3 linked regions of the Drosophila melanogaster genome follow. The main gene of each other region encodes a partner of the protein of the gene in region 2 in a complex. Each region holds a gene or a part of one and is shown on either strand. Other genes may lie near its edges.

What was found. The genes of interacting proteins can lie anywhere in the genome.
Region 1: PolA2 (region 2) and PolA1 share a complex: the UniProt entries of both Drosophila melanogaster proteins name them as parts of the alpha DNA polymerase complex.
Region 3: PolA2 (region 2) and Prim2 share a complex: the UniProt entries of both Drosophila melanogaster proteins name them as parts of the alpha DNA polymerase complex.

Annotation. Positions count from the first base shown.
Region 1 is NT_033777.3:21,666,010-21,673,600, forward strand, and holds PolA1 (DNA polymerase alpha subunit 1), read right to left. Parts: upstream 5,742-7,591; 5' UTR 5,637-5,741; coding exon 5,621-5,636; intron 5,563-5,620; coding exon 5,368-5,562; intron 5,315-5,367; coding exon 4,296-5,314; intron 4,231-4,295; coding exon 1,670-4,230; intron 1,610-1,669; coding exon 1,131-1,609; intron 802-1,130; coding exon 605-801; 3' UTR 553-604; downstream 1-552. Other genes in the region: Jhbp16 (juvenile hormone binding protein 16), read left to right, coding at 1-127, 244-517; CG31176 (uncharacterized protein), read right to left, coding at 7,351-7,591. UniProt on the Drosophila melanogaster protein: Catalytic subunit of the DNA polymerase alpha complex (also known as the alpha DNA polymerase-primase complex) which plays an essential role in the initiation of DNA synthesis.
Region 2 is NT_033777.3:27,237,265-27,241,769, reverse strand, and holds PolA2 (DNA polymerase alpha subunit 2), read right to left. Parts: upstream 2,608-4,505; 5' UTR 2,497-2,607; coding exon 667-2,496; 3' UTR 542-666; downstream 1-541. Other genes in the region: CG17991 (uncharacterized protein), read right to left, coding at 1-438; CG31064 (uncharacterized protein), read left to right, coding at 3,947-4,505. UniProt on the Drosophila melanogaster protein: Accessory subunit of the DNA polymerase alpha complex (also known as the alpha DNA polymerase-primase complex) which plays an essential role in the initiation of DNA synthesis.
Region 3 is NT_037436.4:20,359,281-20,363,440, reverse strand, and holds Prim2 (DNA primase subunit 2), read left to right. Parts: upstream 1-1,855; 5' UTR 1,856-1,933; coding exon 1,934-3,535; 3' UTR 3,536-3,608; downstream 3,609-4,160. Other genes in the region: Toll-9, read left to right, coding at 1-934, 1,005-1,132, 1,194-1,401; CG5665 (uncharacterized protein), read right to left, coding at 3,621-4,160. UniProt on the Drosophila melanogaster protein: Regulatory subunit of the DNA primase complex and component of the DNA polymerase alpha complex (also known as the alpha DNA polymerase-primase complex) which play an essential role in the initiation of DNA synthesis.

The DNA of each region.
Region 1 (7,591 bases), 5.6 Mb from region 2:
AGCGCATCGTCTACACTCAGTATTTCCCCGACAAAAGTCTGGAGGGCGAGTACGAGTTCGCCGCCAAGATGCTGGGTACTGAGATGAACAGAAAAGGCCACTGGAACCTCACCCTCTACGATTACAGGTGGGCACCGAGTTGCATGGAAATATGTATTTCCCAAGCTGTGTTGCAAACACCAGTATTGTTGATAGCTTTTGGCTTACATGACAACCTATCGCTCACTTTATTTACTTCCTCAGTCAAACCACCAGCGTTAGGCGCATCGGCGGTCCGGGCTCACTCATCAAGGTCCATGTGGAGGTGGACCGCATCGGCGGAATGGAGCTGCACATTGAGAACTTGCTGCAGGGACAGCCCCTCAACCAACTGGCCGATGGAGTCATCAACAGCATGTGGCAGCTGGGATTGCCCTTCATCAAGCCGATGATTAACGAGTTGGTTAGCACGGCATTTACGGATATATTCAACGAGTCCTTCCGGCACTTTCCGCTCGAGAAGTTCCTCGCCACGTGACCTCATCTAGTTAACCATACTGTATCTCTGTATCTCTTTTGTAGTATTTTTAATGGAACTTATAACAAAGGCTAGTTAATTAAACACTTAGACCACATCCGCCAAAGCACTCGGAATTGCTTCGATCTGGGGCTGCGCCACGGACGGTTGCAGGGACATCTGAGCCAGGGATCGGGCAAAGAGCTTGCTTAGCGAGATGATCACGTAGGAGGAGCTCTGCAACTGCTGATCCACCGTTTCGTATAGGAGTTGATAGGCCTGCTCCAGCTCCGGTGTGAGGGTGGCTTGATAATATGGACAAAATATAATTTCAATATGAAATGCTGTAAAACTTAATGATACCAATCTTAAGGGAAATATATGTATTAGGTGTCAGAACTAATATATAAACTACAACAATTTTTAAGAATTCAAGGATACAAGCATAAAGAACTACTGAAATCCGTCGAGATCACGGGAACTATAAAATATTTCGACTGATTTTTCCTTTCATGTGTCTTGTTATTTAGTGTCGATATTTCTCTCTCGTACTCCACATTCTTCATTTTGTTCTTATACACAAACTATTGTTTTAGTTTTTGATACTGCTTATAACTACATTGTATTTACTTACGTTTTTGCTGCAGCGTTTGCTTGCCGAGGTCGAACATGAATCGCAGGTAGCACAGCTGATTGTACAGGTCCCGCTCCGTATACTGACGCAGCAGGCTGCCGCTCCTGCACTTTTGGCACAGCGGGCGGTGGGATTTCTTCCTCAAGGAGTGTGTGCGGGTGTTGAAGTTGCAATCCGGGTGATCGCAGACCAGCCAATTTTTATAGAACCGTTGCACATACTGCCGCATGGAAAGCTGCAGCTGATTGCGCACGCTTGCCAGGTACTGAATCGGTGCCGTTTGGCACTCGGACTTAGCGCATTGCTGGAGTACGGCTATGTGGGAGTTGCTTGGACCCGGTCGGTACGCAGACGCCATCAGCTGCTCCGTCTTACAGGTAACGCACTGGAAGCGGAACGGTTCGCACAGGCGATACAACTGCAGAGTCGTCTTGAGCAGGGACTCACCCTCCGACTGCTCGGTGTTCTCTCGCTGGGTTCTACATAACCAAAATATTCGTTAGGTTAGAGTTTGTAAGGAGTAATAAGATAGTAAGTACCTCTGCGCATTCTGACGGAACTTGGTTGGGTCCATGCCCAGACACTCGGCGATGCGACTCGCATCGGTTCCCTCCAGCACCTCCACCATTCGCGTGACTACCGGATGGATCTGGTGTCCCAGGTAGTAATTCGTGTCCAGCTGCAGCTTCTTATCCTCACTGGTCTTGAGCTCATCCAAATGGTATGCTCGCTGCATGGCAGCATTTGTTGTCCCATCCAAACAGATCACATAGTCCACCATATCGCCCTTTTTGTACCGCCTATTACGCTCGCGATTCATACGAAGGGCCACCTGGACGTGGGGCAATGAAGCACTATTGGCATATTCCTGGGGAGTCCGAGTTAACTGTTTGGTGATGACAAACAGTGGCAGCGGTACTACACCCTCTGCAATTTGAGTTTTGATCTTCTCCAGTTGGGCATGCACTGCATCCAGTTTCTCCTCCAAAGGCTTTTCCGACAGCACTTCATCGAGAACGGCTTTTCCCACCATTACAGCCAGCTGAGACCAATCGCGACGTACTATATCCAGGCCCTTGTGCTCCTGTTCACGCCTCAGGTTTCCCTTGGAATCCTTGCTCAACTTGATAGCGGCATACTTCTTTTTCTTCAGCAAGAGCAAACAGCCAAATACTCCATCGATATCCAATTCCAGCTGCTTGTATAGTTTATTTACACTCTGCTTAATATTGTGACCAATCTTGTAGACCTGGTCGTAGTCGGTTATGTTGGTATTTATCATCAGGGAATCTGTGTCTCCATAAACAACGTCATAGTTCATCTTTTGCACGAGTTGTTGTGTGTTCGTGAGGATTTCTCTGCCCTTGTGGGTGACCAAAGCAGCCAAGTGCTGGGCAAAGAACCGGGAGTGGGCGAAACCCAAGCAACCATACATGGAGTTCGCAGTTAGCTTCAGGGCCATCTGCCGAATGTGGTACTGCATCTGGAGTTCCGGCGAAAGATCAGGCGCTGCCATTAGCTTTTTCACCTCTTTTCGCGACTCCACCAAGCGTTTCAATTGAAGGGGTAAGATTCCAGGTTCCGTTTTCGAGTCGGGTAGGGTGGGCAACTCATCTGCATCCACCGGCTGTTGGACGGTGGTGAAGCATATGTTGTACTCCTGTATTATACTGGGGTACAGGGAGTTAAAGTCCATGAGGAGAACGTACTTCTCGTAGAGACCACGCATGGGCTCCAACACTAAGCCACCAGCATAGGCTGCCTTCTTTTTGGTTTGCATCGTCGCATCTGCACCTGAAAGCGTAGCATCCGTATCTCCTGCACCACTTCGTTTAGAAACCGGCTTCTTGTCCGGCACTATGTAATTCTTCTCGTGGAAGGCATGCAGCAACAAGAACTCATTTCGTTCAGAACGACCTCCTTGAAGGGTCCTGGTCATGGTATTGCCGCAGATATTAGTGATTTGTAGCGCCAACGGCATGATGTTGAGCTCACACATCAGCCTTAGTAAATATGAATTGTCCTGCATGGTGAGCGATATGAGCTTGGTAATGCTTTCTCCTTTCTCATACATCTCTAGCAGATCATCGGCATTCACTTCCATTCTCTCCGATTCCTTAAGCTTCAGTACTTGTTTGCATAGCGTTTGCAGATCATAGGATCTTGCTCTTATACACTCCTCTGCAGATCGCTTTACATCACAAACCATTCTGCCGACGAAATGTTCCAGCAATCGCTTGCCAAACGATTGGCTCAGCCTCAGTCGCCCCATTCGAGACCATTGGGGAATCTTCAGGGCTACAATTTGATCGGTTATTACATTTAGTTGACAATCCATGGAATCGAAGGTTACAATGAGATCTGCATCTATTTTCTGGTACTGAGCTAAGAACCAACTCAACAGGGCTCTCTCTGAGTCATGTTTGTGCACTGTGGTAGACTTATATTTTGCCATCTCAAAGTTCAAATCTAAAGGCCAACTAACCACCGCCGGGCGAGTCAAAGCGCACATATGTCGATTGAAAGCGGGCTGTGGAGCAGGGCGGTCGATATGGAAACGATTGTGGGTCAGCATGGAAATCATGCATATCTCGTTTCTCGATGTTTTCGGATTCATTGAGGTGCGAACATTAAGCGATAGTAGCGTAAGTGGAGGTGGTGGCGCTGGCTTTCCCTTATCTTGCACCAACTCTACATTCTTGGGCTCTGTCAATGTGACCTCGGTGTTACACCAACTCATGGGAGTTGGGCTCACCTTGAATCCAGTCACCTGCAGCCAACAGGGACCTTTGATTTTCCGATCTAAGAGGAATCTTTCGAGTGCATTGGTGGTGGCGCCGAATATGTGTGCTATAGAATTGTATTTCTTGTCAGCCGACAAATTGGGCAGTGGTTTCTTTCCATCGTAGTGAACCTCCAAGTAATCGCAAGATTGCGGAACTTCAATACCGATAGCGTGATGGGCAAAACTCTTGGTGACCTTGCGGGATCGAAAGAACTCGAGCTTCAGTTGGTTTGCCACCTCGCTGTCGAACTCCTTGTATATGTCTGCGACGGTCACCTTCTGCTTGGTGGGCTCCTTCGAAATGGGATCTAAGAGCTAAAAGAATATATTCAGAAACAACACTTCACCTAAGGACTAAGTATTTGTAGAATAATACTCACAAATTGTCGGGGCAGCAGATAGAGCACACGGTTGATGTTCTGTACACGCAGACAGACGGACTTTCCATCTGCGGTCCGACCGAACAGGAAGACTTCGCCGGGCATTTTTACTGGATCCTCATAGGCCTCCCAGTACCAGAACCGAAGCTGTTGATCTGAGGAGATTGTCGAATCCTGCTCCGTGGTGAGCACGGACTTTTCAAAATCATCGTCCATTTGGCATATAGACTCCCAATTGTTCAGCAACCTACTAATGTCCTCCGATTCCGATTCCTTTGGCGATCCAGTTGTTTCTTTTTTGGGAGCTGATTTTTCGGCGACTTTGCTTTGGGATGTTTTCTCAGCTGCTGTTTTCGTTTGGGAAACCTTCTCGGTCTGCTGTGTCTTCTCCACATCAAACTGGTTTTCATCGTCATCCAGACAGCTAAAGTCCATTTCATTGTCGGAGAATGGATCTTCGGTGGCTTTTTTTGCAGGTGTCTTTTCAGGCATGGGCTCTTTTTTGATTGTAGGACTGGAGAAAAAGGCCACCTTTGTGTTTGGAACTGCTGCCTTGGGCTTCAGAATGCGCTCCAGCATCTCGTTATCGCTACTGGCCTCCGCTTTCTTACGTTCCTGCTCCTGAACTTTGATGTTGTTTAGAAAACTATTCATGTATTCCTTGGCAGCGGCGGCATCGAATTTACGCGACGTAACTGATATTTTCGCTGGGGCTATAACCTTTTCCGCCTTTTCTGACGTCGCTGCAGGCTCTTCCTTTATTTCGCCCAAAATATCAGCAAGGATATCATCGTCTTTCACACTGGTCTTTACATCCATCTTTTTGGGCACTGCATTGCTGAATAGATTCTTGATGGATGCTTTTCCTGTTACTGGTTTTTCATTCTCCCGTGGTCTCTTTTTGCTGTTGGGGGCAACACCCTTCTTCTTCTTCGAGTCCTTCCGATCCTCCTCCCCATCGGAGTACTCATCTTCGTCCTCGAAGAAATCCCGAAGATCTTCTGCATAACCAGTACCATCTAAAAGTTAAAATTTAGTATTATAAAGTATAGAGTTCAGAGTTCCAACTTACCCTCTTCGATCCAATCGTCACCGTACTTTTCCTGCGCCCTCTTCGCGTACTCCCGCTCATCAACCACATCGTATACATCGTCCACCTGGTCCTCCACTTTGCATTTGTTCTTGGTTCCCTTCAGCTGACGCAGTCGCTCCATGGCGGCGAACCTACCATTTTTGTCTACTCTCTGGCGCTTAGCGCGCGGTTCAGCTGGAAATTTATAATTTCGGTAAAAAATATGTTTAAGGGAGTTATCTTATTAACTTACACGGTGATTCAGACATTGCAACTGGCTAACTTTGATAATAATTTCCCCGTGTTGTGCTGCAGTTTGCAAAAATTGTTTTGTGACCAGGGCTGGAGGATGATCAAAGCGGGAATGGCGGGAACATATCGATAACAGAGCTACGATACATAAAGCGCTGCCGGACTTTTGCAATGTAATATCGATAGTGTCGTTAAGAAGAGGAAGAATGTAAGGAAATTAAAAAAAATAAAAGCCATACAATAACTTAATCCCAAATTGCAATTTTATTATTAAGTAACATCTCTATTTTATGAATTTCTGAGTGGTAATATATCGATAGGTGGCAGCGCGTTATGTTAGCTCTGGGCACTGTTAGCGTCTAATCTGTAAGCACAAATGATCGATTACAGTTAACACGAATAGTTAACATAACAGTTACAGCGATTTAAAATGACTGCTATATTTTGGCGGGAAATCCGACCTGATAATTGAAATGAATTCACCAAGTAAGAAAGAACAATGATCACCATTTAAAGGGCGTTCTTTTAGATTTTACATTTTCGAGCTTCAGCTTTTTAATTGCAGTGGATCACAAAAAGAAAAACTTTTCCATTAGCAGTTGCTCCATGAAGATCCCCTTTTAATGTGCTTGTCATATGTTTTTATTCCCAAATTAAAAGACAATAGTTTGTTTGGTTTTAATCGTATTTTATTTATCATGCATAATATTAGGCTTATAAGATATATATAATATTATACTTTAAATACAATATACAGCAATTTCGATTAAAATTTGTGTGGATTTGAAAGGTGATTTCATACCCTATATAATTATCAATGCAAAATCATGGTTTATATATATACACACATACACAAAACAGACTTACATATTACATGAATACATATATTTATGACTATATTTGCTGTTTAATTGTTATAAGCAAAAATTCGTACATATTTACAATTTAATAGTAAATATTTAGAATTTCTGCACTTGCAGTCGTTATATTTTACAATTATTTTCGGGTGTGTTGGTGAGGAAAGATTTCGGAAGATGAGAAAATATGGAAAATACTGTTTTAGGATAGGGTGATCGAGAGGAACTATAGAAAGGATATTAAAATGTCAGTCTACCAGAATGTACAGCAAAGCAGATAAAATAAGATAAAGGAGGGCAGTTAAGCAAAGCAGATAAAATAAGATAAAGGAGGGCAGTTATTTAGGATCCTTGAGGTATTTTCTTTAGCTATGGGGTGTGTTATTCATTTCTATATGGTTTTCATTTTTATTTCAAGCCACAGACATGGCACAACAATTTATTATGTTTTTTTTTTATGTTTTAAGGAATTTTTCTCCGTGTATGGTTTCCATAGTTTTGGCTAAACATTTAACAACAGCAACAAATATAAAAACAACAAGAAATAATCGTTAACAAGTGCAAGATGATACTGAAATGAAAAGAGAAGAAAAAGAATCAATGAATAATTCAGTTTACAATTGGTTTAATATTATACTATGTTATTATGTAACTATATTAAATCAGAATATAAAGTGGGTTGCAATTCTTATTCCAGTATAATTACATTGCTTGCTTAAATGTATTTCATATTTTTCTAAAGTTTATTTTGTATCAAAGAATTATCTTGATCTGGAGTATTCTTAAAAATACTTAAAAAACAAAAAGTAAATGTTATTACCTTGCTCTGTGCCTGCACAGATGCAACAGATGCTAGACCCACTGTTCACGCCCTTCACACCACCTGCACGGTGGCAAAGGCACTAAAGGTGACCTTCTTGGGGAACTCCGGTCCGGGGGAGCCACGCGTCTTGATCACCGGCTTGAGAGGCTGGCGGGGCTTCAGGGAGAGCAGTCCGGCGGAGGCGGCCAGTTCCCTGAGGCGCTGGGAGAAGCCGCTGCCTGAGTGACCGGAAGTGGTGGCCGCGTTGTGGTGCTCCAGTCCAGCGCAGTCCAGAACATCCAGGCCGTTGTTC
Region 2 (4,505 bases):
AATTATTTGATGAACGTGACCTTCCTGACCAGTGATCTGCAAATATGTTTTTGCTCCGAATGAAACCGCTGACCAATAGGCAAAGACCACCGTGAAGACATTGGCCAGGCAATTATATAAGTTTGTTAGGATAAGATCGTTGGTCAGCTCCAAAGCCCTATCGAAAATCCAGAGATTCGGGTATGCAATGGTGTACTCCGTTTGGCATTGTGGACAGGAAACGGCTTGCAGATTGTTGTTTATTCGGGTCTTCTCGTCGATCCAGAGGGAAATGCAGCTCTGGTGCACCCACTTATTGGTTCCTCGGCAGAGACATGGATTCACCCAAGCCTGGCGACCTGCCTCCTTATCGGTCTCAAAACAGATCCAGCAACAGCGCTCCAGTTCCGTCGAATCTCCTCCAGCTGAAGCTTGTGGCGCAGCAACGTTGCTAGCCATTATTGATCTTGTTGTATATAAAACTTGAGTCTGAGAAAACTCCAGGGCATATGTTTACAAATAATACAATACCTACTTTGGCCCAAAATAACTAATGCTAGTTGTTTGTTGTTGAATGTATTTTGTGAAAAGTTATGACAAAGTAGTGTGTTCATTATATTAACTAATAATATTGTACTGATCTATTTCCCACTATCCTTTCCTTATCATCATCACAAAGTGGTCAGGTTAGATGCGTTGGACTTGACACGCCACACTGTTGAACATGTTGGCCGCCTTTCCCGGCACCGAAGGCGCCACCAGGAATCGGGCGAAAGTTCCACCCTTCTTGTCCGCGACACGGCCGGGATTGATCACCAGGCAGTCGTTGACCAAGCGGATGAAATGCCGCTGATCGCTGGGCAAGATGAGCACATTTGGTAGCTGTTTGAGCTGTGCATATTTCAACGCCAGCTGGGAATCGTAGGCCATGTCTTCGTCCGCCGGCGGATACAAAGGATAGAAGGAGCCCTGGTGGAACAAGTGGTTGATGGCCCTGTGCATCCGCTCGCCGGCATTCACAGCAAACTCGTGACTCAACAGGTGGTCCACCACGTCGGTTGAGGTAACGCCCAGCGTAAAGCCATCCAAGTCCACCAGAGATGGATCGGGCAGCATGTATAGATTTGGATAGGTTCTGCGCAGAGCGGGCGGCGGCGTTGGATATACGGAAAGAGCCATGGCATCCTTCTGACTGGTCACCACCAGCACTGCTGTGTGACTACCAATCGACTCCATTATTCCCCCAATCATCTTCTCGAAGAATGTATCGAAGGTCTCGGCCAGTTCGCCGACCATCTTGTGATCGGCATCCAGGAATGGTCCCGTGAGCACCAGCACGTCAGGTCTGTGATCCTTGAGGTACTTGAGCAGGTCGTGCAGCGGTTCGTAGAAGAGATCCGTACTGTCCGTAAAGGGTCCGGAGGCCACCACAAACTGAAGCTCCCTGTCTATTTGCAGTGGCGTTGCTGGCGTCAGTTTGCGCTCTGTGTGTATCTCCTCTACCATGAAGGTTTTGCCCCTGGGTATGAACCCTTTGGCGAGCACCACTTGACCTGGGAATATGCTGGCAGACTTGACCCTGGAGAAGTTGAGCGTGAGCGTTGGGTCCATTTCATCTTCTACATCGTCATCTAAAACGGCCATAAATGCGGAGTGGGCGTCCAGTGGGCCATCGTCCTCGGAATGAATCATTCCCACCGCGTGGAGTCCACCTGCGGACTGCAATACCTGCCTATCCTGCGGATACCAAATGCACTCGGCTGCGCCTGCTTGTCCAAGTTTCTTGTCCACTAGTGCCGGACCGGTTTGGTTGAAGCGGACGCGCAGGTTGTGACATCGGTCGGTCAGCAGGTCGTTCATGTAGCCCAAATTTGCGATGGTCAGCGGGGCGTCGTTGTGCAGCAGTTTTTGAGTCACCGGAACCGTGTGCTCCATTTGTGACTGCCAGCTGGAGCCAGCCAGGAGTTTGGGATGTCCGAAGGTGTCAACTATATCGCCCGGCTTGCCGGCCACTGAGTTGGATGGTGTTTCTAAACCTGCTTTCCTCTTTGCCGATTGGGGTGTATAGCTGGCGGGGCTAAAGAGTGCGGCGCCCTTGAGATTGGCGGTCCGATCCGACTGCTTCTTGGCCTTGGGCGTGTGCAGAGCGGAGGAGTCCACTGCCGATTCGCTGACATAGTCATCCAGCATGGGATCGTCCTCCATGACGCCATAGGTGGCCAGTGAGCTCGTATCCTGTACAGAGGGCGAACCATATGATTTCGCCTTCTGGCCAGTTGCCTTGTATCCCGCCTTGTCCTTCCGCAGCTGCAACACCTTGCGCTCAAAGTCGCCCAGATTCTCGATCGCAGGATCCTCGCCTTGGAGGTGCGACAAACTGAAGGCCATCCACTGCTCCACGAACTCGGTGGCGTCGTGGATGTTGTAGGTAATGGCCAGCTCCGCACACCTGCCCAGAACTGCGTCCGCTGGCTCCACGCCCATCTCGTCGAACTGCTGCTTCAATTCCTCCTCCATTCGTTGTCCTTTCGTTGGGCGTTTAATTTTCGTAAATAAACCTAGCAATTTATTTTGGCGGTAAAAGTGGGCACAGTGTTGCCACCCTATGATGCTTTTAACACCTGCTTGAGTTTTCTTATCGATAAGCATAGTCAGTTCAATAACATAACAGCTCCCATCGAGCTGCGATAACCGTGATCTGTAACCAGTGATTGTTATCGCCCATCCCCAATCGCAGTGCAACAGCTGTTTTAATTTTGTATTGACAAACTTTTTTGTTTACCCGCGTTCAAGCGCAAAACAAGCGAAATTAGCGGCTGTAATCGCGTCATTTTGATTCATGTGACTCCGCACAGTGTCCTGATAATCGCCGCGAAGCAAGTGATTCGCCATGAGCACGGACGATCTGCTGGTGCGCCGCGAAAGGAGTGAAGACTCCCAATCCTCGAGTGTCTCCATTCCGGTTACGCCCACCACCGGAGGTGCCGCGCCTGCGCCCAGCGCCCCCACGTCATCGCTGGACCGCCTGCGGAACACCTTCCGGCGCACGGAGAGCATCTCCTCGCAGATCTTCAGCCACATATCCACACAGTTCTCGAATGCGGCCGCAGCAGCCGCCTCTTCCGAGGTAATCGATGGCACCACCACGTACCCGTATCCCGACGAGCCCGCACCACCTGTTGTACCTGTTGCGCCGGACACGGTGGCGAGCGCCAGTGCTTCATCCCCGTCGCCATCGAAACTGAAAGCAAAGCGACTGAAACGCGGTGAGTCCGAATTATTATTCATTCGATGATAAGCAGCAATGGAAACCAAATTTCCATTGTGCGCTAATAATAATATGTTAAGTAATAATGTTGCATATATAAAATATATTATATATAATATATATAAATATATACACATATATATTTAATATAACAATTTAGGTACTCAAAACTATTCTAAAATGTATTTATTAATTAGTATTAGCAATTTCGTGGGCTGTGCGAAACTGTCGTTGAAATATTTCGGTACTTGTATAAATAATATGATTAAAAATAACTTAAAAGTGCATTGGGAAAGTGTCAAAGGTGATTTGCGCACCACACACAGCGTGACCATCGAGAACACCCCCAACGAAAGCTCGCGAGGAGCTTGCGAGCTTGGCGCACTGGACAAATCAATAGGATAAAGAACTTTTTGCCAGTCTTACTCAACGCGTACACAACAGGATAACGGTGCAAAATCAAAGCGGCGAGAACTTTCGGTTATTTTGTTAATTTCAGAAGTAAAACCCTCTGGAAAAGAGGTTTACAAAAGGAAAAAACCCCTCTAAGGTAATGAAAAAACAGTTGAGGGAAAGCGGCAGCAAAGGAAACTCGGAACTTATTGAACAGCTAATATCGATATATGTATATATCTGTATTTTTATGGACGCCCACGCACACACACACACTACTCAGGCGTACTTTGAAGCAGCAGCGAAATGCGTGGACTTGTCGAGGATACAAAAAGGACCAAGTTGTCGTCGGCGAACAACAACAACCTCAGCAGCACCAGCGGCAGCGGTCGCATCAAGTCGAGCAGCCTTGCAACAGGATCAAGTGCCAGCGGCAGCAGCTCGAAGCCCTTGAGAAGTGCAGTGAAAACGCCAACATCGGGCAGCGCGACGTCATTGTCGTCAGGAACAATGGCTGCCAAGAAGGCGCCTCAAACGGGGCAACAACAAGTAGGCAAGTCTGCAAAGTCCGCCACGGCAGCAACTCCAACTGGCACAACAGCAACAGCAATTGGAGCAACGGCAACAACAAGGGCGCAAGCAGCAGCGGCGAAGAGCCAAAAGGGTCAGAATCCACCCTCACAACAAGTGCAGCCGAAACAGCAGCCGCCACAACCGCAACAGACACAGCAGCAACCCCTGGTGTTGCAGCAACAACAGGCGAGCAACAGCAGCAATACGATTGCCTTGCCAAAGGCATCGCATGCCAACACCAGCGAGGAGCTAGCCGGCGGTGTCCAGGACACCATTTACCTGTGCAATTTCC
Region 3 (4,160 bases), on a different chromosome or scaffold from region 2:
GGAGATCCTCGACTTGAGCTCGAACCATGTGGGCAATTGGTACCGCAGTGCCTTCCACAACAACTCCGCCCTAAGGGTTTTGAACCTGAGAAGCAACACCATCAACATGCTGTCCAACGAGATGTTGAAGGACTTTGAGCGATTGGATTACCTTAGTCTCGGGGACAACGACTTTATTTGCGACTGCCATTTGAGAGCGGTGGTGGAGGTGGCGGCCGCCAATAATAAAGATGCAGACTGCTCCTATAGACTGCTGAACTATAGTCAGAATGCCGTAGGTGAGGAGGTAATATCTCTGGCGGAGTCACTAATTATAGATCGCAAGCTATGGCAGAGTCGCTATATTCCCTGGCTGCAGAGAAGTTACTCCAACATCAGGGAGTTCAATCGCGCGAATCATATAATCAAGCTGCGCTTCTCCTCCGAGGACTACATGGTAGCCAAGTGCTCCGCGGCCCAGCCATACCACTTAGGGGACCTTGACGGAGATCTTACCCTAAAATTTCAGCTGCTCGACTACGAGGCCAGTCAGTATTACTGCTTCAACAACACCGATCAGCTCCAGGTGGATGAGCTCAACTGCCAGATCAGGTCGATGAGTGACCTCGCCGAGGAGTTGCACCACGTTACGAACACAGTGATCGCAGTCATGGGCAGCTTAGTTGGCGCTTGCATCCTGGGATTTATAATTTATCTGAAGCGCTGGCACATCCACTACTATTACTCTTCCCTGAAGTCCGCTGCCTTGTTGTCCAGTGCGTCCAAGGAGTCGGTGAATAAATTCACAAACATATCCCAGAGAGATCCCAGTGCCGTCTACGATATCTTCATCAGCTACTGCCAGAATGATCGGACCTGGGTGCTCAATGAACTGCTGCCGAACGTGGAGGAAACTGGGGATGTGTCCATTTGTCTGCATGAAAGAGATTTTCAGGTGAAGCGTACTTATCTTACAACATTAACTTACTAATAAAGTGAAACCTTAACCCTTAATTCACATGCAGATTGGAGTGACCATCCTAGATAACATCATCTCCTGCATGGATCGCTCGTATTCCCTTATGCTGATCATATCCTCCAAGTTCCTGTTGAGTCATTGGTGTCAATTTGAAATGTATTTGGCACAGCATCGGTAAGGAATCTTTATCTGTAAAATTCAAATATTAAAATCAATATATGTGTGTATATTGTAGCATCTTTGAGGTCAGCAAGGAGCACTTGATCCTGGTTTTTCTGGAGGACATTCCACGGCGAAAGCGACCCAAGACTTTGCAATATCTCATGGATGTGAAAACGTATATAAAGTGGCCGACGGCCAAGGAGGATCGAAAGCTGTTTTGGAAACGTCTGAAGAGATCCCTGGAGGTCATAGGGATCAACTCCAGAGAGATCAGTGTTTAGAAAACATGTAATTTTATCCGGAGAGTTCTAGTCAGTTGTGCACGTACCTGATATAGTATATAAACTACTTAATTACACTTTCATGAAGACGAAAGTTTCCCCACAGTAATCATAGTAATATGCAAAATTTGCTGCTGAACATAAGTATAGTTTAAACATATATTAATAAATAAAGGTATTTAGGTTTTTAAGAGCTTATGTGATGTTTTTGAAATATCTTAACAAAGGCAATAGCGTCGTATATTAAACATAACCTACTACTACTGGACACTATGTAAACAAAGCTAAGGCCTAAGAAATATCTAACAATGCAACACACAATCAATACATCAGTACCAATTGACTGATAATAACAATTAAAAACGTTTAATTTTGAAATACAAATTGAATAAACCGCAAGCATCGATAATGAGCAGAAAACTATCGATAACAACTGACACAGCTGATATTTGCCATCAGTAGTTTGCGCGCCAAAACAACAAACGGGCATTCCACAAATTGTAAATTACTATAGCAATTCCCGCGACTCACAATGGAGTTTGGTCTGAAGAAACGCGCGAGACATGAGGTGAAGGTGGAGGTGGCCAGCCTGGAAACCAAGTACCCGCACAACGTCATGCTGTACCACTATCCGCCGACGGAGGACGTGCACATAGACGAATTCGAGGAGCTGGCTCTAGAGCGCTTGCGCCTTCTCCGCGTCCTGGATCGCGCAAGCACCCGGAACCTGCGCGTGCTCTCAGATGAATGGAAGGAAATCGTGAGTGCGGACCTGACCCGCGAGGGATTGCGCAGCTATTTAAGGCTCTGCTCCACCGGCGGAAGCGCCAAGCACGAGGCGGATATCCAGACCCGCAGGCGGGACTATCTTTCGCACTTCATCTTGCGGCTGGCCTACTGCCGCTCCGAGGACCTTGCGCGCTGGTTCGTGGCCCGCGAAATGGAGCTCTTCCGGTACAAATTCGCTGCACTTAGCAGCTTCGAGGTGAAGCAGTTCCTTGAGGCCAACGGCTTTGAGATTCACCCCCTCACCGAGGCCCAGAAGGACGAAGTCAAGGACGGCCTGTACGAGAGCACGGTCGGACAGAGCGTGGCGAAGATCGAGCTGTTGGACTTCTACAAGGTGCCCTTCACCCAGGTGCTCGATCTGGTGCGCGGACGTCGCTGCTTTTTAAAGGCTGGCTACGCCTATGTTAACACCCACGACCTGGTGTCCCTAGTGGGCACCAAGCAGCAGGACGAGATCGAGCAAGGCCTGCAGGCTGCTAAGACTATGGTGGAGGATGTAGAAGCCGACGAGCGCATCTCCCGCACACTTAAAGCTCTACATAACTCGTATACCGGTAGGGATTACACCGTTTGTCGGGATGCAGCTGTGCCCATCGAGTCGCTCGATCAGCTCTCCAAGACCTCCATGCCGTTGTGTATGCGCATGTGCCACGAGCACATTCGTGCCAACCATCACATAAAACATAGCGGCCGAATGCAATACGGCCTGTTTCTCAAAGGAATTGGCGTGGCACTGGAGGATTCGCTGCGCTTCTGGCGCGAAGAGTTTACCAAGAAAATGGACGCGGATAAGTTTACACGCAGCTACGAGTACAATATTTACCATAACTACGGAAAGAAGGGTTCCATGGTCAACTACACACCCTACTCGTGCGCCAAGATTATCAAGGATGTGGCGGGGCCGGGCGATTGCCACGGCTGTCCGTATAAGAACATGGATCAGGGCTCGTTGAAAACCAAGCTGTCCTCCTATGGCCTGTCAGCCAGTGCCATCGACGAGGTGATGTTCTTTGTGTCCCGCGGTCACTATCAAATTGGATGCGGCAAGTACTTCCAACTTACCCACAATTCACCCGTCGAGCCGAGCATCAATCACCCCAACAACTACTTCGAGGAGAGCCAGATAGCGATGGGCAACCGGCAGAAGCGCGCCAATGGTTCTGCTCCGCCCAAGGCCAGAATCCGTCCAGATATCAAGGGCCATGGGGATCGGTCCATGCTGATGGGTGACGATGACGATGAGTTGTGGCGAATCGCGGAAACCCAGGAGCGTATCATGCAGAGCCAAAAGGACATATCCGAGGCCTTCAATGATGATCTAGATCTTACGCAAATCGATTACTAAACGTTGTACAACATAAATTAACTAAGGTACATATATATTTAAGCATCGTAAATAAGAAAAGTTATATTATTCCATGGTTCGGACTTCACCTCCGGCACAAGTAGCACGTTTTAAGCCTAGGATCAACAGTGTTCTCCGAGTTTCGGCCGTAAGGGGGCCAGCCATTGACATCTACGTAGTAGATGCCCCTGGCTTGGGGATTCATTCGATAGCCCATCGGGGAAACTATGCCAGCAGAACAATCCCGTTTTCTTAGCTCATCCCAAGAAGCGCACTTCTTGCCCATAAAGTTCTTCTCTTGGTGTGGATATGCACTCTCGGCGAAATACTCAACGGCTCGGGTATGAGAGCATCCGATGGTTAGGCAGCCTGGCTGGATGGGATGTGCTCCGCCGGGATAGAAGTCCACATCACCGAGGGGTCCACGCTTGGCCAAAATACCAATGTTGGTGTGGATTATGTCCACTAGCTTGGCATCGCCACGCGTCAATCCTGGCAGAATCTTTTCCCGCCTGAAACATGGCTTGGCCGGATCCAAGCCAGTTATCCTGGGTATAAGTTTTCCGGTAAGCTTCTTAAAAGTCCGACCAGCAGTGCCCATAATGTGAGCTCCTAGTGAATGTCC